3 linked regions of the Saccharomyces cerevisiae S288C genome follow. Changing the gene in region 3 together with the main gene of any one other region gives a genetic interaction. Each region holds a gene or a part of one and is shown on either strand. Other genes may lie near its edges. The genes, in order: ERG9, CTP1 and HFA1.

What was found.
Region 1: of HFA1 (region 3) and ERG9, changing one enhances a phenotype caused by changing the other (phenotypic enhancement), as found in Saccharomyces cerevisiae (one study listed by BioGRID).
Region 2: mutations in HFA1 (region 3) and CTP1 together harm fitness more than expected from each alone (negative genetic interaction), as found in Saccharomyces cerevisiae (2 studies listed by BioGRID).

Annotation. Positions count from the first base shown.
Region 1 is NC_001140.6:480,257-486,943, reverse strand, and holds ERG9 (bifunctional farnesyl-diphosphate farnesyltransferase/squalene synthase), read right to left. Parts: upstream 2,100-6,687; coding exon 765-2,099; downstream 1-764. Other genes in the region: LNP1 (Lnp1p), read right to left, coding at 1-118; CTF8 (Ctf8p), read left to right, coding at 313-714; PTH1 (aminoacyl-tRNA hydrolase), read right to left, coding at 2,344-2,916; GPI-anchor transamidase subunit GPI16, read left to right, coding at 3,107-4,939; Elongator subunit IKI1, read right to left, coding at 5,025-5,954; ubiquitin-binding TORC1 subunit KOG1, read left to right, coding at 6,272-6,687. UniProt on the Saccharomyces cerevisiae protein: Squalene synthase; part of the third module of ergosterol biosynthesis pathway that includes the late steps of the pathway. ERG9 produces squalene from 2 farnesyl pyrophosphate moieties.
Region 2 is NC_001134.8:781,288-787,664, forward strand, and holds CTP1 (Ctp1p), read right to left. Parts: upstream 3,286-6,377; coding exon 2,386-3,285; downstream 1-2,385. Other genes in the region: SNF5 (Snf5p), read left to right, coding at 1-1,097; BSD2 (Bsd2p), read left to right, coding at 1,304-2,269; YBR292C (uncharacterized protein), read right to left, coding at 3,415-3,786; VBA2 (Vba2p), read left to right, coding at 5,719-6,377. UniProt on the Saccharomyces cerevisiae protein: Transport of citrate across inner mitochondrial membrane.
Region 3 is NC_001145.3:677,227-688,440, forward strand, and holds the start of HFA1 (acetyl-CoA carboxylase HFA1), read right to left. Parts: upstream 6,339-11,214; coding exon 1-6,338. Other genes in the region: ERG12 (mevalonate kinase), read left to right, coding at 7,241-8,572; YMR209C (uncharacterized protein), read right to left, coding at 8,685-10,058; MGL2 (putative carboxylic ester hydrolase), read left to right, coding at 10,290-11,214. UniProt on the Saccharomyces cerevisiae protein: Catalyzes the rate-limiting reaction in the mitochondrial fatty acid synthesis (FAS) type II pathway. Responsible for the production of the mitochondrial malonyl-CoA, used for the biosynthesis of the cofactor lipoic acid.

The sequences.
Region 1 (6,687 bases), on a different chromosome or scaffold from region 3:
ACGCGACATCTAATTGATGGATCTGTGAAGTTATTTGTGATAAATCTGCGGTATACTTCGTCACAAAGTCCTTATCATTGCGAGAGCCTCGGACCCATTTACCTAATGCACTAAACATATTTATGTTATTCTTTTATATCCGATCTCCTCTTTGTATGATTTTTGTTTTCTTAAAATATACATGTCAACGTTAGCATCTTGAATTTCATTTTTCCTTTAATCTTTTTTAGTAAGCTAACCACTAATATAGCCAAAGGAGTGATAGAAAAAAGAATTATCACTATCATTCAGCCCAATAAACAGCTGAAAAGAATGCCTAGTGTAGATATAGATGCTAGTCAATGGCAGAAGTTGACACAGTCAAGAGAAAAGCAGACCACGGTGATAACACCGCTTGGGATGATGATGCTGGAGATTCAAGGTGAACTAGAGTTGCCTAAGGACTTTGCGTCGCTGGCGAGGAGAGATTCTCCAAATGAGGGAAGGTTCAGTGAACAGGACGGCGAAACTTTAATACGATTTGGGTCGTTACAGATTGACGGAGAGAGGGCCACATTGTTTGTCGGCAAGAAACAGCGTTTACTGGGGAAGGTGACAAAGCTAGACGTACCGATGGGTATAATGCATTTCAATTCGAAAGATAATAAGGTCGAATTAGTTGATGTAATGAAATATAAGGTTATCTTTAAGGATAGGCCTCTACCTATTATGTAAGTACTTAGTTATTGTTCGGAGTTGTTTGTTTATGTTATTTGGCGCAGACTTCACGCTCTGTGTAAAGTGTATATATAATAAAACCCAAGAAGAACGGACAAGATGATAGATAAAACCATATTGAACTTGTACTCTTCTTCTTGTTGGGTTGGAACCAATTCATCATCGTATCTGGATCTTTCTTTAACTTTCAAGAAAATTGGAGTTTCATTTGGCTTCACGTTAGGAGGTAATTTATCCTGGTACATTTCTTCCATAAACTGTTCGATCTTGGAGATTTGAATGTTCAATTTTAAGAAATTTGGATCTTGCACAGCCAATTTAGATTTGATATCACGTAAGTAATAGTCAAAAATCTCGACACAGCCACGCAAAGTCCTTGATTTCAAAATTAAATAGCAGGTAGTACCCTTACGAATCTTTACATTGCCATGTAGCACTTCACGGTTGTTGAATACCAAAGCCAAGGTTGCAATGGCCATAACTTGGGGAATGGCACAAAATTGGAAAGTGGATTGCTCGTGGATACCGGCCAAATAAGTCAACACATCGATAACATGACTCAATGCGTTTAAGACGAGGTGGTTTATACAGTCCAACCCCAGTTGTTCGTTTTCAGGTTTCATGAAGTCCTTCAACTGAGGAGCGTATTGTGACCAGATTTCCTTGGGCCAGAAGGATCTACCATCGACCAAATCTTCATTGTAATCTCTGATGATGTTGGTTTTTTGTAGGAAAAGACCCATGCTTTCATACAATTGCTCATTAGAATACAAAGATTCGTTGGCAAACTTGGCAATGACAATCAAACGGGTCAAACCATCACCGACCAAACCAGCTACGTAGTGACAGTACACGTCGTAGTCGTGGACGGTTTGCAACCCATTCAAGTTGTAATTTTCATCTAAGATGTAGTCGGCCATACCATTACCCATTTTCTCGGTGATCTCCTTGATGACTTCTTGATATTCTGGTTTCAATTTGTGGAATTCAATAAGAATCGATTCGAAATCTGTCAAAACGGCTCTGTCCTTCACATCGGGGGCATTTCCGTCGAAACTCCATTTAGTTAACAACAATTTCTCGTGGAAGTGACGCAACAAGTCAATTTTCAAATCGTGTTCGATGGACATATCGTCTTCGATGGTATCCAAAGCCCTTAAAATCAAATAAAAGAGAGTAACACAGTTTCTCAATTCTGGATGCAGCTCTCTGATCACAGCAGCAAACGATCTGGAGGTCAAGTTCAACAGTTCGAAACAGTGCAAGAGATATGGAGACGTGGACTGATCATAGATGGAGAATAGCGGTGTTCTGCAAAACTTCAGCTTCAAAGCTGCCTTCATCTCGACCGGATGCAATGCCAATTGTAATAGCTTTCCCATTGTGTGTGTGTGATATGTGACGTGTATACGTTTTCCGCTTCTGCTCTTCGTCTTTTCTCTTCTTCTGTGCTCTTATTCTTTGCCCCTGTCCTAACTTTCCATTTATATAGCCCGTGGTCGTGTTCTCGCTGCTCGTTTAGGCACTAAACCCAAAACCGATAACGCCTTCCGATGCAAAGTGCAGTGGAAAAGAAAAAGGGCAAAGCAAATAGGATGGTAAGTCGGTATTGTTGTTGAAGATGGGCTATGAAATGTACTGAGTCAGAGCACGCCAGGCAGCAGGTTCACTCTGTGTAAGCAAGGTTTGTAGTTCCTGCGGAGTTAGAGCTCCCAGAACCCACCGGGACACGCTCGCAGGGTCTCTAGAACGGGACCCAGGTTCTCTGCCGATTCCAATAGCCAATTTGGCAAAGGGTACACGGCCTCCACTGCATTTTAGCAGGCTTCGCAGCCCATTATGACCTCTAATACTGGTGCTGGGGGCTCTGAGCTGCACTTTTCCACACGCCACACTTAACTCGTCATGAATAACTACGTGTCGGGCTTGGTACTTGGCGTACCGGGCCCAGACCTTGCACACCTGTTCTCCACTTAGATTCATGTACTGGCCATCCGATCTTAGTATCGTACAATGTTCGTCTTCTATATAATGCACTTTGCCGCCCGTATTAGGCACAGGGGAATAAGTTCTCCCCTGCAGACCAAGCCGCTTTCGTAGCAGCTCCAGCATATATAGCCCTACATTGTGACGGGTACCAGCGTACTGAGGCTCTGGATTGCCTATCCCGGTCAGCACTAGTCTCCATTTACCGGACATCTTCCTTATCTGCCTAGAGTCGACTTGTTCCTACCTACTATTTTGCATATTATAGGAATAGTTCGAGATTATTTGAAACCGCCGGACCTTTTTGCGCTGGGCGATCTTTTACACGTAGTTTTAGTAGCCAATAAGTAAAAGGAGAGCGGAAACAAGTGTTCAAAGCAAACAAAGCATAGGCAAGACGACGATGATCCTCACACTGGCCTATTTCATGCTGGGCACTCTACTACTGGGTGTGTTCGCAGAAGACACGGTGTCGCAGATTGGTATAAATGACAGTTTATGGTATCCGTACGACGAAGCACTGGTGTTGAAGCCGCTGCCCAACAATGATCTGCTACTCTCATTTGCATTCCAACTGCAATCGGAACCGTTTGACCCGGCCGTATCATCCATGTCATATGATGCGTATGAGCACTACACGACTTTCCCACGGGCCATCCCACCATTGTTGGAATCTACTGCCACGCGTCAGTTTCATTTAAGATTTACCAGAGGATTCTGGGATGCCCTGTCGTGGGGACAGTTGCCACATGCTGGAAAAGAGGCAGGTGCCTCAGGTGTGGAATTGTGGTCGCAAGTGCAGGCCATGGATCAGGAACAGGCGTTCCATAATTGGAAAAAACTGTCCAATTCATTGAGCGGATTGTTTTGTTCTTCTTTAAATTTTATCGACGAGTCAAGGACGACCTTTCCCCGGCGGTCATATGCTTCTGATATAGGAGCTCCTCTTTTCAATAGCACCGAGAAACTGTACCTGATGCGAGCATCGTTGCCCAATGAACCCATCTGTACCGAGAACTTGACGCCGTTCATAAAACTATTGCCTACTAGGGGCAAATCCGGTTTGACATCTCTCTTGGATGGTCATAAATTGTTCGACTCTCTATGGAATAGTATTTCCTTGGATATTGCCACTATTTGTTCTGAAGATGAAGATGCTCTTTGTCACTACGAGATGGACGCACGCATAGAAATGGTAACACACGTTCCCTCCGCCTTGGCAAGAGGTGAGAGACCTATCCCCAAACCTTTGGATGGGAACACATTGCGTTGTGACACGGATAAACCCTTTGATTCTTACCAATGCTTCCCTCTACCGGAACCTTCGCAGACTCACTTCAAGCTGTCTCAGCTGTTTGCCAGACCAATAAACAATGGCAACCTGTTTGCTAATAGGCCCACAAGAATTTGTGCAGAAGTTGACCGTTCTACCTGGACTGCGTTTTTGTCAGTTGACGATACTATTTTCAGCACACATGATAATTGCTTTGACTTATCAAACGATCAAAATGAGGGTGGTTCGGGCTACGACTTTATTTTAGAATCGACGGACACTACTAAAGTTACTCCCATAGTTCCTGTCCCAATTCACGTAAGCAGATCTCTGACTGGTAATGGACAAGATCGTGGTGGAATGCGTATTGTTTTCCATAACGACAATGATACCCCTGTGAAGTTGATTTATTTCGAATCATTGCCATGGTTCATGAGAGTTTACCTATCCTCTCTTCAAATTACTTCTACTACCTCTCCGCAATTGCAAGAAAACGATATCATCTTAGATAAATACTATTTACAAGCGGCCGATAGAAAAAGACCTGGCCACTTGGAGTTCACGATGTTAATTCCAGCTAATACGGACATTGTAATGACTTATCAATTCGATAAAGCTCTTCTGCAATTTGCCGAGTATCCACCAGATGCAAACCATGGTTTTGAAATCGATGCAGCTGTAATCACCGTGCTATCTTTGGAGTCCTCATCGTCTCTTTATGAAATGAGAACCTCTACCCTATTGTTATCCCTGTCTACACCGGATTTTAGTATGCCGTATAACGTCATCATTCTAACATCTACAATCATGGGACTCATATTCGGTATGCTATACAATTTGATGGTGAAGAGAATGGTCACCGTCGAAGAGGCCGATAAGATTACGTTGCAATCTGGCTTAAAATACAAATTGCTAAAGCTAAAGGAAAAGTTCCTAGGGAAAAAAAAGACTAAAACAGACTAACAATCTAGCATCTAGATATGTGTATGAAGTATACGTAGTTTACATAATCTGGAAGCACTCACTATTTACCATCAGTTTCTACTTTTTAAAAGGGATCCTCATATGGATCCTCTTCATCATAATCGTCATCCTTTTCGTACTCATAAACAATAGCACCCCCTTGTCCAAAGCTTTGTGCCTCCAGAAAAGGCAATGCGACTTGATCTTTGGCCAGCTTCTGTTTGTTGGATGTTCCTAGGTTGAATGTTGTTAATCCTTGCAACATTTCGGGTGTCTCCAGTCCGTTACTACTGCTCTCCTCTTCTTGCTTAGTGGTTGATAATAATTCATATTCGTGGGTGTTTGAATTTACTATGAAGTCGTATTCCAATGACCTGCCGGACTTTCTTTTATTAACAAGTCGTAATTGAAATATATCGTTATTTAACCCGCGAGGAATTCTAAATTCGTTTAACAATTCACTCACCTCCTCAGTATCGAGAGTGCCTGTTAATACCACATCAATATCTACTATTGTAGTGGCCATAAACTGCAGTAAAGTCAACTTATCAGGATAATTGTTATTCCAATCAGGTATTACCGTACGGTTCTCATCTTTGATGTCTTTATGATAAGTCGCAACCATCGTGCAGTGAGGAGAGGCGATCTCAGACAAAAACCTTGTTATGTATTCTGTAGAAATATAGTTCAATGAATCGATAATGACCATGTGCTTTTTTGCCTGTGTGGCAGTAGCAGCCGGTAGATATGATATAATTTGTTTCACTAAATGTACAAAATCCATCTGCGTAGCGTCAATAAATTGAGTACAGTACGATGGTTTATTCACTGTTTCGAACGAAATGTACACAATTGGATACTCATTTCCTTTACTCTTGCTCTGGTGGACGAATTCTTGGATGAGCTTGTATGAGGTCTGGGCAATAGAATCTAAGCACAAAATGAAAGGGGAGCTTTCTGTGAGCGATAAGATTCTTTTCAAAAGAATGACAGGGTTATGTGACGAACTGGCCATTATATCTTGTTCTACCTGTAGCAATAGCTTGGGTTGGAGCTATTAAAAAGCTCTTAAGTTATCATTCTCCAGAGGTTATAATGGCATCGCTTCTTATATTTGGATTTTTCAAGGTGACCCGCACTATGAGATGATAATCAAGGCAGCATTAATAGTATCAAAAATACTTTAATAAATCATCAATAGGTAGTACTTTACATAAGTATATAGAGGATTTTAAAACTTGTAAAGTTATTTTCGAATGCATTTGGTTTGTAGATTCCTTTGATTACATTTAGCGAATCCTATTGCATGCAGAGAAGGGTAAAAGATACATAATGCCGGAGATTTATGGACCTCAGCCATTAAAGCCACTCAATACGGTGATGAGACATGGGTTTGAAGAGCAATACCAAAGTGACCAACTTTTACAATCACTCGCGAATGATTTCATATTCTACTTTGATGATAAACGACACAAAACTAATGGAAATCCGATTCCTGAAGAGGATAAACAACGAGATGTAAATCGTTATTACCAGCCGATTACCGATTGGAAGATTATGAAAGATCGACAGAAGACAGTAAGTGCGGCCCTTTTATTATGCTTGAATTTAGGTGTCGATCCCCCTGATGTTATGAAGACACATCCCTGTGCCAGAGTTGAAGCATGGGTAGACCCATTGAATTTCCAGGACTCGAAGAAAGCAATAGAACAAATTGGTAAAAACTTACAAGCACAGTACGAAACTCT
Region 2 (6,377 bases), on a different chromosome or scaffold from region 3:
ACTTGAGAATTAGAATCAAGCTGGATATTGTCGTGGGACAAAACCAGTTAATCGATCAATTTGAGTGGGACATCTCTAATAGTGATAACTGTCCAGAAGAGTTTGCAGAGTCCATGTGTCAAGAATTAGAACTACCAGGTGAGTTTGTGACTGCCATTGCTCACTCCATAAGAGAGCAAGTTCATATGTATCATAAATCACTGGCACTGTTAGGTTACAATTTTGATGGATCAGCGATAGAAGATGATGACATTAGAAGCAGAATGCTCCCAACGATTACTCTTGATGATGTTTATAGGCCTGCAGCGGAAAGCAAAATTTTTACTCCAAACCTATTACAGATTTCAGCTGCAGAGTTAGAGAGATTGGATAAAGATAAGGACAGAGACACAAGAAGGAAAAGAAGACAAGGTAGATCTAATAGACGTGGTATGCTCGCATTGTCCGGCACATCTGCAAGTAATACATCTATGAACGGCGTTCACAACACAGTAGCAGCAGGAAATGCTTCATCGTTGCCACCAGGAGAGATTTTACTGCCAGATATTGCAGATATTCCAAGAACTTTCAGGACTCCAGTACCTAGCACTTTAATGCCTGGTGGTGTTGACGTAGGCCCTTCTGTGGAATCGTACGAATTGAGAAACACAACCACTTATAAAAGCAGGCCAGATAGACCTAAGCCAGTTTCACCTCCTTGTTATATTATTGACCATATTCCGGGTCATTCGCTACTACTTTCTATTAAACTGCCTGGGAAAGTTAATACAAAAGAAGAGTTCGCAGCAGCGCCCAATGACACAAGTAGTGGCACCAATGCAATGCTTCCGAGTCCAGAATCGCTGAAAACTAAGCTGAATAGTAACATTCGCGCTGGTGTGACGATACCTTCAATCCCAAACCCGATTGCCAATCACACTGTTACTAATTCACCCAATCCCACACTGCAGCCAGTAATCCCAGGTGGGGCAGCTAGTAAATCGGTACCTACACCTAGTCTTCCTATAGCACCTCCAGTAGCACCACATGATAGCGAAGCGACATTGTTGACTAATAGCAATAATGGTAGCAGTAACAATAACACACAGAATACATAGAAAATATATACACATATATAAAATATACCGGAGATGTAAATAACCGTGGAAGAATTTGTATTATCATCGTGTTATACGATGCGGAGTCCCTTTGCGCCTACTTTTTTTAGAAGAATAGTACATAACCTTTATAAAAATCTTCCAATTTAGATACATAAAAAGAGCATGAGAATAACAAGAACACGTAGTCTAGGAAACTAAGCGCTATGCCAGAGCAAGAACTACTTATAGGGCAAGAAATGAATACACTTCATGCAGGTTCATCTACTGATGGCATAAATGTCGGAAACGCAGGACGAACTAGAGACACACAAACTGGCGTAGAAGGGGAAACGGAAATAGGGTCTGACGAGGAAGATAGCATAGAGGACGAGGGAAGCAGCAGTGGAGGAAATAGTACGACAGAAAGACTAGTACCACACCAGCTGAGGGAACAAGCAGCCAGACATATAGGAAAAATAGGAAGACATTTTAATATTCTTGATAGACTTTTTAAGAAACGTACACAACAGTCTTCGGATATACAACAAGGTGCCATGTTTGATGGTGTCTTTAGCAATTTAAGCGCAAAACCAGATACCACAGAGACTGAAGGTAATAACGAACAAGACATACCACCTACATACGACGAAGCTGCTGCTGATATGGCCCCCTCGTATTATGGAATGGATTTGAACAATTCAGATATCTACTACGACGAAATATGCATTGAGGGGCTTCCTGTAGGAAATATAGCAAATTTATTATGGAATATCATCGTAAGCACGAGTTTTCAGTTCATTGGATTTTTAATAACCTACATTTTACACACATCTCACGCAGCAAAGCAAGGTTCAAGGTTTGGATTAGGGTTAACGTTCATTGGATATGGTTATTCAATGATTCCCAATGATGTTACTTCAAAAGTCGGCAAAAATAAAAGCTTAAATAGAATGGAATTAGAGGATCCAAATGAATTCGATGATGTTCGTCTAAATTCACAATCAACGACACAAGATAAATTTGAATCACATTTGAATCACGGTCTGGATGAAGAAAAACAAAACATACCATGGTTGGCTGTTTTTGTGGCATTTCTTGGGCTATTTATCACCCTGAAGAGTATATACGACTACATTCAAGTCAAAAAATTGGAAAAGAAATACCTCAACCAAAGTCAAAATCAAGCATAAGCCATCTTCTTCATTATGATAAAAAGAGATATATAACTTTTTTAAGTGATCGGCTGGTAAATAGACTTATAACGAGTAGAAAACATTAGATGATATATTGTACACAATAATACATTTCAGGCTAGCATAACTAAGACCTTTTCATAGATAGTGAAAACAATACCACCACTCAAGACCAATCTCCCAAGTCTAGGCGTAGCACCTTTCCAAAACGTCTTTAACCCTTCTTCTTTGAAAATGGTTGCAAAACAATTCATTGTAGAGGAGTATTTGGTGGAATCCAAACTTTGCATTCTTGTTTTCACAGTATCAAGGGGCATGGTGGAATAGACCGTCACAATACCACTAAATGCACCCACTAAGAAGGTTAACCCGGATGATAAAGGTTTGTCTTTTGGCGAATCCGTATAATCTTGGATCAAGGTCTTAATCTTATTGTAACAACCCAATCTAACGGCTTGGTTTGCGGCCTGTCTCATGGAAACTGGCAAAACACCACGATAAAGACCAGAAAATCCTTTATCACGGACTAATGATGAATAGTTTCGTACTACACCGCGCCCATTATTATGGTATTTTGGTGTAGCAGATTGTTTATCATCGATCAAAGCAGTTTTGATTGCTTCAAAAGGAGTCACTGCGGCAACACTTTCTAATAGTCCCGCACCTAACCCAGCTATCACCCCTCTTGTACCACTTAGTTCTCCAGTTTCACTATCTCTTAGCATGTCTTTAATGGTATCAAAGCCAAGAAATCTAATACCCGCCTTAGCGGTGTTTCCAATAATAAATGCGGGACATCCGACATAAATGGAACCAATGCCCTGAGTTTTTGCAGTTTTATATATCAATACCAGAGGATTTCTTGATGCCTTGGAGGCCTTATCAATCAGCTGCAGCCTTGTTTTGGCAAACTCAAAAGGATATGTTATACATGCTTCAGCAGCACCGGCTAGGGACCCTGCCAGAAACGAGTGCAATGGATCTACGTCACTTTTGGTAGCTTTACTGGACATCGGTAAAATGCTAATTTATAATTCAAGCTCTACTTTGGAGTTCTTTCATTGTGACATCAAAATGTTTTTAATTTTACGTTGGCTTCGACATTTTACGTTTTATATATCACGCTAAAGTGAGACTAAATTTCATTGTTCTTCTTTTTTTTTTTTTTCACTTCTAATAATTGAAAATTCCGCAGGAATTCTTCCATATTCTTGACTCTTCAGTAAGACTAACTTAATGGAAATAGAGAAAATAGTACATATTTGAAAAAAAAAAAAGAGGTGTTGAAATGATTTGAGAATATTAAATAGCTTACAAGCGTTAGCCGAGTTCCCAGACAGCAGAGTTTCTACCCTGTGCTCTTTGTTGGCGGCTTTATTGATGAGGAATATAAAAATGTAATTAGGCAAACCTACGCGCGAAAATATAAGAAGCAAAGATATAAAGTGTAGTATATTTGAATATTTACATGAACGAAACGGCGACGTATAATGGTAATCGGCTGGGAACTTCATTAAAAAGTCAAGATGTAAGTTACCTCTTAGTAAGAAGAGTTATTGCAGCAAGCTTAGTATCAATAGGGAGACTCTGTCATGTAAAAAAATAAATGAACACAATCATAACCTCTTCGACTGGGCTATTCGTTGTATAGTATATGTGGTGGAGTGTAATGAATGAAGTTCTCAGAAGCTTGAAAGCATATCAAAATCACGTATTGACTATGACAGATTCTTGTTTCTTGCTCCATTACTCCATTCGAGTTTTTCACAACTTTTGTCGTTCGTCTATAACATCTCTTTTTTTTCCCACTCTTCTAAAATATTGGCATAGCTGACATGTTTGGAACCGAATAAGCAATTACAATACGACAGTAAAATAAAAGCATGTTATTGCTGCTTGTAGAGAATTCCTGCATATGTAACTTTCTCATTCCGACGGGATAAGTTCATAAACTAATCAGCGATGAGTTGCGGAAAATTCGTCAATAGAATATTTTCCAGTCAGTGGTGGTCCCAGTGGCCTGCAACCTAATGGCTATAGTTCTGGATAATAAATTGGGCAAAGGTCAGTATAAAGAATGAATGTATCAGGCCGTAATTGAAGCTTTCAAGTCCAGGTGAAAGGCCAAATCGACAATTAGCGAAAACAGGATTTTTTTACCAACTTGAAATAGTGACTGCTGTCTTTTTGCCTGATTAAGTGGTTATATATTTCAACTAATATCACAACAAAAGGCCTCTCAAAATTTGTGGCGAAGTGTACATCCTGGGTGCTCAGGTAAGCGTCGTCTTCGTATTTTTTTTTTTTCAACAGTAGTTTGGAAATAATGCTCTTCGAGGAATGCGAGCGGAAATGTTATCCACTGTATAAGTCGATATTTTAAGGGACGCTAAATATATCATCATAGCTCGTCTATTGGTGGCTTCTCCAATTGCACTTTCAATGCATTATGGTAAAGTGTGGTGATAAGGCATAGTGATGTTTACAGAGGTCTGTTGGTTTCTCTGGGCTCGCTCATCATCCGACCAGTAACCTTGTGGGGTTTCACATATTGTTCTATGCATTATTATCACGGATTTGTGCCTGCAAATGCTGTTTCTTTGGCTTTTCTTTCTAAAAAAATTATGATATATATATTGTTCCTCCTTGTTTAACAGGCTTTACGGTATTGTGGATCCTAGTAATAGGCGTACTTTTCTTCATTTACATATTTGAACAATATATGTCTCACAAGTAGTTGACCGAATAGCGTTACGTAAGGGTCAAAAACCTTTTCAGAATTGTATATATGACATTTTTAGAACATGATATAATAAACAGAATATAAAAGAAAATAGAGACGACGTACCATGGCATGAAGAATTGTACTGATATCACATTGTGTTGAGCACTGATAGATTAATACTATATTTCTGCTAGGTGCGGGGGGTAACATGTCCTAATGTGTGGCAACCACATTCTAAGGCTCGGTAAGTGATGCGATATATGTGCATGTGTGGCTTTCTTCCTAATTTGCTATTAGATGATTGTGTGCAAATCCACAGAAATATACAATTTCGAGAATATATATACTAGTTATCGTTATAAGAACACACAGTATTGGCCAATTCTTGCCTCTGAATGGTACAAAATGCTTTAAAATGTAGTAAATGAAACATTAATTCCAAATCAGATTTTTTTTCGCAATGCTTAAATCTAGTAAACACAAAGTACTACCGAAAAGCAAGGATGGAAACTATGGCAGTATTGAAGAGACTGAAATTCCTTCTGTCGACTACAGTGAAGACTTAGATGAGGACTTGGACAAAGGCGAAGATATAGCGCTTTCAAGAATCCCAAATTGATGGATTATTGAAGCTACTCTTTTTTCTAATGTCTTTTTGTCCGGTTTTGACGGAACCGTTACAGCTTCGACGTACCAAACGATTGGTAACGAATTTAATCAGATGAGTATTTCAAATTGGATCACCACTGCGTATTTAATTACATCAACATCTTTTCAACCTCTTTATGGGTCATTTTCTGATGCACTTGGTCGAAGAAACTGCCTTTTCTTTGCTAATGGGGCTTTTACCATTGGATGTCTAGCCTGTGGTTTCTCGAAAAACATCTACATGCTTAGTTTTATGAGAGCATTGACAGGCATAGGAGGTGGTGGCTTGATCACACTTTCTACAATCGTAAATTCAGACGTTATTCCAAGTTCGAAAAGAGGAATTTTTCAAGCGTTTCAGAATTTACTTTTGGGATTTGGTGCCATATGTGGAGCGTCTTTCGGTGGCACAATAGCGTCGAGCATTGGTTGGAGGTGGTGTTTTCTCATCCAAGTACCCATATCTGTGATTAGTTCCATATTAATGAATTATTATGTACCTAATCAGAAAGAATATAATCGTCAAAATTCTAGCATATTCCAAAATCCCGGAAAAATACTCAGGGACATAGATGTTATGGGCTCAATTCTTATTATAACTGGTCTCACACTACAGCTTCTTTACCTGAGCCTGGGGTGTTCTACTTCTAAATTATCATGGACCAGCCCTTCTGTGCTACTGCTATTAGTTGGGAGTGTAATAATCCTCTTACTGTTCATATTGCACGAAAG
Region 3 (11,214 bases):
AGCTCTTCAAGGACAATGTTTCCCCTTCTGTCTTCAAATTTTTTCTTAAGCTCATCGATCAACAGCGAGATCTCAAACTCTTCAATGTTCTTGTCAATTTTTTTCGAATTTCTTTCTATGAACTCCACTACTGCTCTGTCATCATTAACATCCAGATCGTTATACCATGACTGAACTATTTTCAACAGGTCGTCGTACTTCATTTTCGTTTTGTTATCACATGTTTTTTTTTGCAGTCTTTTGATCACTTGTCCCTCGTTCAACCTCCTTCTCAGTCTCCAATATAAAAATCTGCGTGACTTTTTCCATTCCAACTCATTTCGGATTACTCCTTTAACTAGCATCCTAGTCGATCTATCATGTAAATCTGCAAACTGTATGCTGATTTGATTGTAAATTGGTATCAACTGTCTCTCTCTTATTTTCAATCTCTTCGTAAGATCATTTTGTTTTTCCAAAGATAACTTTTTTTCTGTCAACGTTCTTCTCAAATGTCCATATGTGGAGTCTAATCGAATCATCGTCTCTATCATTTTCTCCTTACGGTATTTTATGCTAACTACTCCGTCAGGTTCTAACACACCTCCCCTAGATTCAACATCGGCATACATTTCCATTTGTTCAGGATTAATAGTTGGATCTATAACAACCCATGATCCGCCCCTTAATTCACCAAAGGGCGGAATGTATATCAGTATGGGTTGTTTGTAGTCAACCAGAGCGTCAACAATAAAAGACCCGTACTTTAGTACTTCATTGTACATATCCCTTTGACCGCCAGAAAATCCCCTCCAATTGGCTAAGATAATCAATGGTAATTGCTCACCATAGTTAAAATCATTTATAGTTTGAGCTGTTTTGAACGCGGAATTTGGATACCACACCTGTCCTGCTTCTTTAACGGAAAACTCTGAAGAATCCAGATTAGCTGGGTCAGCGGGGATTATTTCTTCGATAGTCTTAGTTTCTACCGCAATAACACCCACGGGAATACCTCCAAGACGTGCTCTTCCAACTATTACACCTTTGGCCCATCCAGATAATGTCTCAAAAAACGAATCCTTATCAAATAGGCCTGACTGGAAGTTGTTATTTGAGTCCCATTTACCCTCTATCAACCACCTTGCCTCATATGGCACTTGCTTGGCAGGTTTGAAGTCTACATCCCTATCCCATCTATCCATAGTTTCAAGAAGTGGAGGACTCATATCTCTTTTCGCCGGGACATATGATAACCATGTCATTATTTTTTCGATGGCTTTCATATCATTACTGGCTGTTAAATGCGCTATTCCGTTTTTATACATGATTTGGGTTCCGCCAATTTGTAGGTTAGATGTATAGATATCGGTACCCAAAACTTTATTAATCGCCGATGCACCCGTCAGTATGATAGGCTTATCCTCCACCTGAATAGTACGTTGTCCTAGTCTGACCAGATAGGAACCTATACCAACGGACCGACAAGTAACAGCAGTAATAGTGAAAATGTCTCTATACGCTTTCGAAGTGGCACCAGCAATTAAACCCGAGCCCTGTAAACATTCAACACCTAAACCCTCTTCGAATCCGACTATTGCTTTAATAATATATCTCTCTTCACCGTATACCATCTTGTGTTCAACAACAACCGAATTTCCTTTCCCAGAATCTTTCAGTAGCTGCATGTCTTTTGGAGCTAAGTATAAGTACTGGAAACCCTTTGTTGGATCAGAGGGGTCATTCCATGCTACACGAAATAGAGGGATCAGCTCTTCGGCTATACCCAATTTAGCTCCTGAATTCGCCGCCAAGTATATCCTCGGGATCCCTCTCTCTCTTGCATAATTTGTGACCCTATCAAAAAACAAATCTTCTCTCGGTCCAAAAGATCCAATATTGTAGGTAATATCATTAGAAATCACGATCATGTTACGCCCTTCAGGATATTCAGGTGTCTGAACCATAATCTCAAAAGCAACCATCCCTATATTATTAAGGCCTGGCTCCCTGTTTACTTTTATTAAATTACCGTTTTGTTCTATCAATTCAACCCAACTAAAAAAACTGTCATTCAGCTTATGTTTTGGAAAATACCTTTTCCACTGTTGGATTGCAGCTTGATGAAACAGACCTGGGAAATCGTACACATATGTTGTACCCATGAATTGAGCTTTGTACCTTTTAGGTTGTAGCCAATCCTTGACCGAGTAAGGAAGAGAGAGAGATTTCTGGCTATAATGGCTCTGCTCACTACACGGTTCCAAAATCAGATTCCCATTTTTCCCTATCTTTTCGTAATATGTCTCAATTTTTACCACATACCCAGATTTATTAGAAATAAGTAATCTAAGCGGGGCTGGCTTCTTTGTTTCTAGGCACTCAACAGAGATGCAAATTTCTACATCTGTGATTCTTTCTTGAAACAATCTGGTTTCGTGAGTCTTTAGAATTGTACTCACAATTTCCTCGAGACGATGTACTGGTATGTTAAGAACTGTATTGAAACTTAAAAAAATATGATTCAAGTCTGAATTTGAGATGTCAACTGCTCCTAGATGTTCTAACATATAAACCACTTGAGCATTGATTTCCGCTTTCAAGTTTTCTTCGGTTGTTTTTTGATCATTATACATGAAGGAATTTATGATTTTCCTGACAAAGAACCTTTTATCTAGCGGCGTAAATTTGCTAATACCTTCAAAAATGCGTATACTACTATCGTATGTAGGTAGTGATCTGATTTTATAGTTCGACATTTTTCCTAACTCTAACGGTGCTTCATAGGATGGATCCATATTTCTTATTTGAGAGATTTCATCGTACGTAGTTCCATCAAAGGAGTAAAATTTAACAGCGGGCGCATTCGCGGCGATAAATGCAAATGTAATACGATTAACCTTGAGCTTGGATAGACCTCTCTCATTTTCATGAAGTTTAATTTTTAAAGTTTTAATTAGATCATTTTCACTTCTGTAACGAATAGGAGATAAAATATTAACAATAAGAGAGTTCTCTCCGCTGGAAAGTCTTTCCTCAGGAATATGAATTTGTTCGTATACCTCGTCTAATGTCTTTTCCAGAGATTCAAGCGCACGCATGTTGACAAGAAGACCAAAACTATTTGCTGAGCTCTTACCTGATGTTGAGGGAGGTTTAGAAAGTTTTGTAAACTCATCACTCTCACCATCAGAATTGACTAAATAATTTCTTAATGAGCTGAATTGCCATGACATTAGTAAATCAGGCGCTCCTTTATGAATCTTAATACTTTTTAATTGATAATTGCCGTAGGCATACCTTGCATAAATTTCAGATGCTATACTGGAAAGAGCCGTATCTTGATGGCCAAAAAAAAAGAACAAATCCTGAAGTTGTATCAGATTTGAATGTATTAAATTACCAAAATCCCTCATACAGGAATATATGTTCCTGCTGTGAATGTTTTCGGCACCAGTATCCTTTATGTGCAATTGCAGGAGAGTTTTAATATGCTCTTTTCTTTTCTTTATGGGAGGGAAAATCCCTCTGAGTAGCACTGATCTTGCCTTTACAGCAACCTCTTTAGCCCACTTAGATTCCAAACTTGCCAAATCATGTATAACAGCCCTGAATTTTAAAGACATCTTAGAGGAATCCTGGCACAATGGCTCGTATTCATGCAATATTGCAGTTACTAACTTGTTCTTTGCGACTACGTTAGCATGCGATAAACTTATGCACAAAATTTTTTTCAAGTTTGTAAGGTCTTTCCTCCGCAGATTTAGTAAGTTTCTTTCTTCATGTATATCATGATTTTCAAAAATTTTCTCAACAGCATAGTACTTTTTAATCAACTTTAAAAAAATTTCACATTCGTGATTAGCTAAACCTTCGCTATACCTTTCACTAATTTTAAGAAGTGGCTGTAAGGCAACATAAACTACATGATCATTTGTATTTTCTTCCAAGTAGCGCTTCATTAATTTGTGCAGTTCCTTTGCAGGAAAAGAAACAGATTTCTTGACTAGATTTCCCAGCCCCTCATTCAATTGCCTTGGTAGTCTATTGCGTACCGTAGAAATTTGGGAATCCCATTCTGAATAAGGAAGCCTACCATCTCTCAATATTTTTATCAACTCTTTTAGAGTAGTTTCTATTCCAGAGTTTTCATGATATCCATTGAGAATATTTTCTAACCTATTTATTAAGACTCTGAGCTTATGGTTTGGTCGGCTACCCTCTATTAGCGGTGGACCTAAAACAGGTAATTCTCCGCGGTATAAAGACGATTCGTTAGCTTTGGACGGCGAATCCAAAGTCAATTTTGCGATGACATCACCAGCCTCAATTATGGAACCGGGCTGTCTTAGTAACTCAATTACACCATCACTTTTCGCTACTAGTGGCATCTGCATTTTCATTATTTCTATTTCTGCATATTGCTGTCCAGCAAAAACGTGATCACCACTTCGGACCAAATATTTCACCAATTTCCCCGGAGTTGGAGAGATCACTTGAGTGGGATTGAGTTCAGCTTCTAAAAATATGGTATTGGAGTCTATCGAAAGTCTTGTACCTCTGATATCGTCCTTCCAATAAACTGTATGGCATTTACCGTCAACGGAGATCAACAAGCAGTCACTGGACAATTTTTGAACATTAACTTCACATTGAGACTTATTGATAGAAAGAATAAATTGTTCTTCAGATGATTGAGCAACATTGAACAAGTATCTATTATTATCGAAAATGAAGTCAACAGGAAACTTCGTTTTAAGAAAATCTTTAGGTGGAACTTGGCCCCTCCGCAATAATTCCAAATACTTATTCCTCACCTTTTCTGTGAAAACGTATGCTTTCATTGCGGCACCACAGATAATAGCGAGCGTTGGATCTAGTTTGCTATCGGAAGATAAATTTTTCAAAATCAAATCATCTAACCAACCAGTCGATATGTTATTACTCTCAAAGTCCCGAGTTTCTAATAGCTCTATCAGGTACTCTATGGGGGTTTTGAATTCTCCTCGGATGGAAAAATCTTTTAGAGCTAAAACCATGTTTTGCTTTGCATCTTGCCTATCGTTTCCTACAGCAAAAATGTGCCCAAATTGGGAATCTGAAAATGAGTGAATAGCACCATTATTTCCTACTGAGAAGTAACCCCAAACATTGGAAGAAGAACGAAAATTGAGCTCATGTATTTTCCCAGTGGAGGGCTTGAAACCTTCATTAGGATCTTCTGAAGTGATCCTGCATGAAATACAATGGCCTTTTGGCGAGGGTCTCTTTAAATTTTTAAAATCAATATACGAAGTTCCCGTTGGATCTAAACCATAAAGTTTTCTGATATCACTTATCATGTGCATAGGAATGCCCATGGCGATTTGCAGTTGAGTGGCAGGAAGGTTTACGCCAGATATCATTTCTGTCGTTGGATGCTCTACTTGTAGTCTCGGATTCAGTTCTAAAAAGTAAAATTTATCATCTTTTGGTGAATATAAGTATTCGACAGTGCCCGCAGAAACATAACCTACCAATTCACCTAGACGAATTGCTGCGCGTTCCATCCTTTGAAACGTTTCAGGCTTGGTTATTGTCACTGGTGCCTCTTCTATAATCTTTTGGTGCCGCCTTTGTATGGAACAGTCTCTCCCAAACAATGTAATGTTAGTGCCATATTGGTCAGCTAATAACTGTACCTCTAAGTGACGAGCATCAGTGACAACTTTCATAACAAACATAGGCGACCCAGGTGTCTCATTCACTGCTTGGCGATATAATGCAATAAAATCATCCTCATTATCTACTCGCCTAATGCCCTTACCTCCACCACCTTCGGATGCCTTAATCATTACAGGAAATCCTATTAATTTAGCCTTTTCTAAAGCATCTTCAGGTGAGGAACAACATCCCCTTACATATACATCATCCGGCACAGATACAAAGTTCGTCTTGTTATCGATATGGATAGTGTCTATATGTGAACCAGACCAAGGGATACACGGGATTTTAGCGCTTTGTGCTACAATAGTGGAAGAAATCTTGTCACCCAATGATCTCATAGCGCGTCCAGGAGGACCAATGAATAGTATTTTCCTTTGTGAACTAGCTAACAGCTCAGGAAGACACGGATTTTCAGAAGCATGGCCCCATCCAGCCCAGACCGCATCCACATCCGTTTGCTCTGCCACGTCCAGTATTAAGTCTATGTTGGCGTAATTGTTGTTGTTGGTACCCCCTGGTACCTGCACATATTGGTCTGCCATTCTAATATACTCCGAATTTGCGTGTAAATCATCAGGTGTCGCCATTACCACGAATTGAATGATTTTTTCATCATTGAACGTCTCGTACGCCCATTTTCTTATAGATCTCATTTCTTTCACCGCAGCAATACCATTGTTTGCTATTAAGATCTTTGAAATAACAGTATGTCCACCACGTAAATCAACAAAATCTCTTAATATTGAAGGTTGGGCACTTTCCACAGTATTTAGCCCTATGAACTGGGGCGGTAATCGAGTATGTTTATGAATATTGCCTCGATCCACATAATTGGAATACCTTCTTCTAGATGGAAAATTCAAACCTATTCGAGATGAATGCCTATACGAATGGGCAAAAATGCGTTTTCTGTATTCAGGGCGCTGTCCTTTCAACCGTACTATCTGGCTGCCCGTTATATTATAGAATCGATAAGGATCCAAATATAACGCGAGCTTGTACTGTCCTATTCGAATGCAAGTAATTGTGAATATGGTAATGTAAAAGTGAGAATGTATCCGGCGAGCCCCCCAGCTTTGGCCGTGTGTAATTGTCTTCCCTTTCTACCCAAGATGACTTCTTCTTTATCATTCTTCATTATTCATCTTTTCTTGTCATCTGCCGCCCACCCATTTTAGTTACCCTAACGGAAACATTGATGAATGATGCTATTATTACTGTCATAAGCAATAAAAAGAGAGGTTCCTACTACTTCTCCCGTGGAAAGCTAGCGATAGCCTTGTACTCTATCTCACTTTCAGAATGCGTACACATTTATGTTTAAAGAGGCGTTTTGTGCTAGTTTTGTCTCAACGTGTATTTTATCGGTTGTAATTGTACTGACAATTTTCGGGCCTCGTTTGGCTGTCGCACTGAAATCTTCGACAGGGTATCGAAGAACGATACAACGATATGCCTATAAAGGTTAGTTAGCCATGATATTACTTCCTGGTTAGCTGGTGCGCTTCTTAGTCCTAACTTGCAAATTTATATCTACGTATAGAAAACTGTCAATATGTCATTACCGTTCTTAACTTCTGCACCGGGAAAGGTTATTATTTTTGGTGAACACTCTGCTGTGTACAACAAGCCTGCCGTCGCTGCTAGTGTGTCTGCGTTGAGAACCTACCTGCTAATAAGCGAGTCATCTGCACCAGATACTATTGAATTGGACTTCCCGGACATTAGCTTTAATCATAAGTGGTCCATCAATGATTTCAATGCCATCACCGAGGATCAAGTAAACTCCCAAAAATTGGCCAAGGCTCAACAAGCCACCGATGGCTTGTCTCAGGAACTCGTTAGTCTTTTGGATCCGTTGTTAGCTCAACTATCCGAATCCTTCCACTACCATGCAGCGTTTTGTTTCCTGTATATGTTTGTTTGCCTATGCCCCCATGCCAAGAATATTAAGTTTTCTTTAAAGTCTACTTTACCCATCGGTGCTGGGTTGGGCTCAAGCGCCTCTATTTCTGTATCACTGGCCTTAGCTATGGCCTACTTGGGGGGGTTAATAGGATCTAATGACTTGGAAAAGCTGTCAGAAAACGATAAGCATATAGTGAATCAATGGGCCTTCATAGGTGAAAAGTGTATTCACGGTACCCCTTCAGGAATAGATAACGCTGTGGCCACTTATGGTAATGCCCTGCTATTTGAAAAAGACTCACATAATGGAACAATAAACACAAACAATTTTAAGTTCTTAGATGATTTCCCAGCCATTCCAATGATCCTAACCTATACTAGAATTCCAAGGTCTACAAAAGATCTTGTTGCTCGCGTTCGTGTGTTGGTCACCGAGAAATTTCCTGAAGTTATGAAGCCAATTCTAGATGCCATGGGTGAATGTGCCCTACAAGGCTTAGAGATCATGACTAAGTTAAGTAAATGTAAAGGCACCGATGACGAGGCTGTAGAAACTAATAATGAACTGTATGAACAACTATTGGAATTGATAAGAATAAATCATGGACTGCTTGTCTCAATCGGTGTTTCTCATCCTGGATTAGAACTTATTAAAAATCTGAGCGATGATTTGAGAATTGGCTCCACAAAACTTACCGGTGCTGGTGGCGGCGGTTGCTCTTTGACTTTGTTACGAAGAGACATTACTCAAGAGCAAATTGACAGCTTCAAAAAGAAATTGCAAGATGATTTTAGTTACGAGACATTTGAAACAGACTTGGGTGGGACTGGCTGCTGTTTGTTAAGCGCAAAAAATTTGAATAAAGATCTTAAAATCAAATCCCTAGTATTCCAATTATTTGAAAATAAAACTACCACAAAGCAACAAATTGACGATCTATTATTGCCAGGAAACACGAATTTACCATGGACTTCATAAGCTAATTTGCGATAGGCATTATTTATTAGTTGTTTTTAATCTTAACTGTGTATGAAGTTTTATGTAATAAAGATAGAAAGAGAAACAAAAAAAAATTTTTCGTAGTATCAATTCAGCTTTCGAAGACAGAATGAAATTTAAGCAGACCATAGTATCCTTGATACATTGACTCATAATCAGTTAAATAGCCATTCAATCCCTTTGAGCTATCAACTTCATATTCCTCCACAAGGTCCTTCCACCCGCGAATTTTACGCAGCCGACTTAATTCATCTCCTGTAAATTGGACCAAGGGTTTGGTGCCATACTTTAATGGACCTACATTGACCCAATGCAGCTCTTTACAGTATTTCTTTAGTGCTTCAATACTGGATAGATATTCAAACATATTTTCCGCGGTATCTATGAAATATGCGCTACAAATGATAATTTTATCATAGTCTTTGGAAATGGGAGAATATCGTGTGAAGTCCCCCCATAGTGGGTCCAGATTACTGCGGTGGCCAACTTTGCTCAAATCTGCCGATAAACTTCTCAACTGATTATCAAACACTGTCTGGCATGAATATTGTTGTACAAAAGGACGTATCTTAACGTCATGCTTATATTCGAGTGCAAATAGGTTACATATGTACATCAAGGCTGATAATTCGATGGAGTCCACCTGTATTTTGGGGAAAGTGGTGGCAAGAGTATGGGATAGGCCACCCACACCAGCCCCTGGGGTCACGATAAGAATTTTCTCTTTCATGTCCCCGGCACTAATCACATGATGGTTGATTCTACTAATGATAAAATTTTGTAAAGGATCTCTTTCCACACTATAGTAAGAGCTGAAATCACGACACAAATGTGCTAATGCTTCATGGACCACACTTTGGCTGCCTCGAGACGAAACTATTGGAAATACGAAGTCAGGATTCAATTGAATAAGGTGACCATCTTTAATCTTATAGCCGTGTTCCGCGCATATCTTTTCAATTTCCTCTGTAAATTCTTCATCGTGTTCGTTGGAATGAATCAATTTCCCTAAAGTGAACTCAATTATCTTGTCAATAACTCTTGCGTTTTCTCGGATACCCTCATTATTTTTCATTAATTTGGTGAAGTAGCCTAATTTTTGCAACTGATCTTCTGAAATTCCATTTAATTGTCTTGCTCTCCGAAATAAAAGGCCATTATAGCCTTCTCCTCTTGCTCGATACTCATGTAAACGGATTAAATTCCCCGTAAGATCAGGAAGAGTGGGAATCTGATAATTAATTTTAGAAAGATTCGATTGATCGGCAGATATTGATTTCTCAACATCAACCAATTTTAAGGAGGGCGATAAAACGCTGACTTTTTGGGCCAGATTTGATTTTCTTGATAATAGCTTTTCAACATATGATACAAACCACCTCTGCAACGGCTTATTTTGCCTTAGCAGTGTCATCAGGACTACCACAAGGGCTAGAATTATATTTGATGCCAGTGAGCTAACCATTGGCGCTCCTCAACTTCGTATATCAATATTTTTACCTCTTCTATTTCCTGAAAAATTTGTTAATTGTACAGCATCGTTTACGTTTTTTTTTTTTTACGGGTCTTCTTACCTAACCCCGAAAAGTATTGTGGATCTTAAAAGGGTCTCAATTATTTGAAGTTCGATAAAAACCAACTACTTTGTTATTTTAAAACTGTATTATACAAACGCTGGTAAACTTCCAGAGACGATATGCGTCTAAAAGAATTGTTACCTAATTTTTTGATTGTTCATCAAGAGGTCCCTGAGGATCCTATTGCATTCAAGTCCACCGATAAACGAGAGAATGAAAATAAAGAGATCACCATCCCTGAGCTAATAGATACTAAAGTTCCTGAATTAGCTGACGGTGCTACTGACACTTTATATGGTTTACTGGTCAATGGCCATTTACAAACTGCATATGGTTCCTTTAGACACTTTGACAATATATACAAAGTTCAATATAAAAGAATGATAATCAAATACCCACATGGGGGAGAAGGGACTGTGGATTTTGCTGTAAATGGTAGAAGTACCAAAAGAAGAAAAGTGGAAAAAGAATACGTGCCGACAAGTCAACCGGTATTTAACGGAAACTTGAAACGAAGATATTCGTACTATTCCCCTGATGATCCTAAATTGAACTCAGACGATGCTAAGCCTATGCTTATTATTCTCCATGGATTAACAGGGGGTTCGAGGGAAAGCTACGTGAGGGCAATTGTTCATGAAATCACCACGAAGTATGACTTTGAAGCATGCGTGTTTAATGCTAGAGGATGTTGTTATTCTGCAATTACAACGCCGCTATTATACAACGGTGGTTGGACCAATGATATAAGATATTGTGTTAATGACTTGAGGAAAAGATTTCCGAATAGAAAGTTTTATATGATGGGATTTTCGTTAGGCGCATCTATAATGACAAATTACTTGGGAGAAGAGTCAGATCGTACTAAAATCGAATGTGCTATTTCCGTGAGTAATCCATTTGACCTGTACAACTCTGCATATTTTATTAACAGTACACCAATGGGGTCACGATTTTATTCACCTGCTTTGGGTCACAACTTACTACGCATGGTTCGAAACCATCTCTCTACTCTGGAAGAAAACCCTGATTTCAAAGATGTTA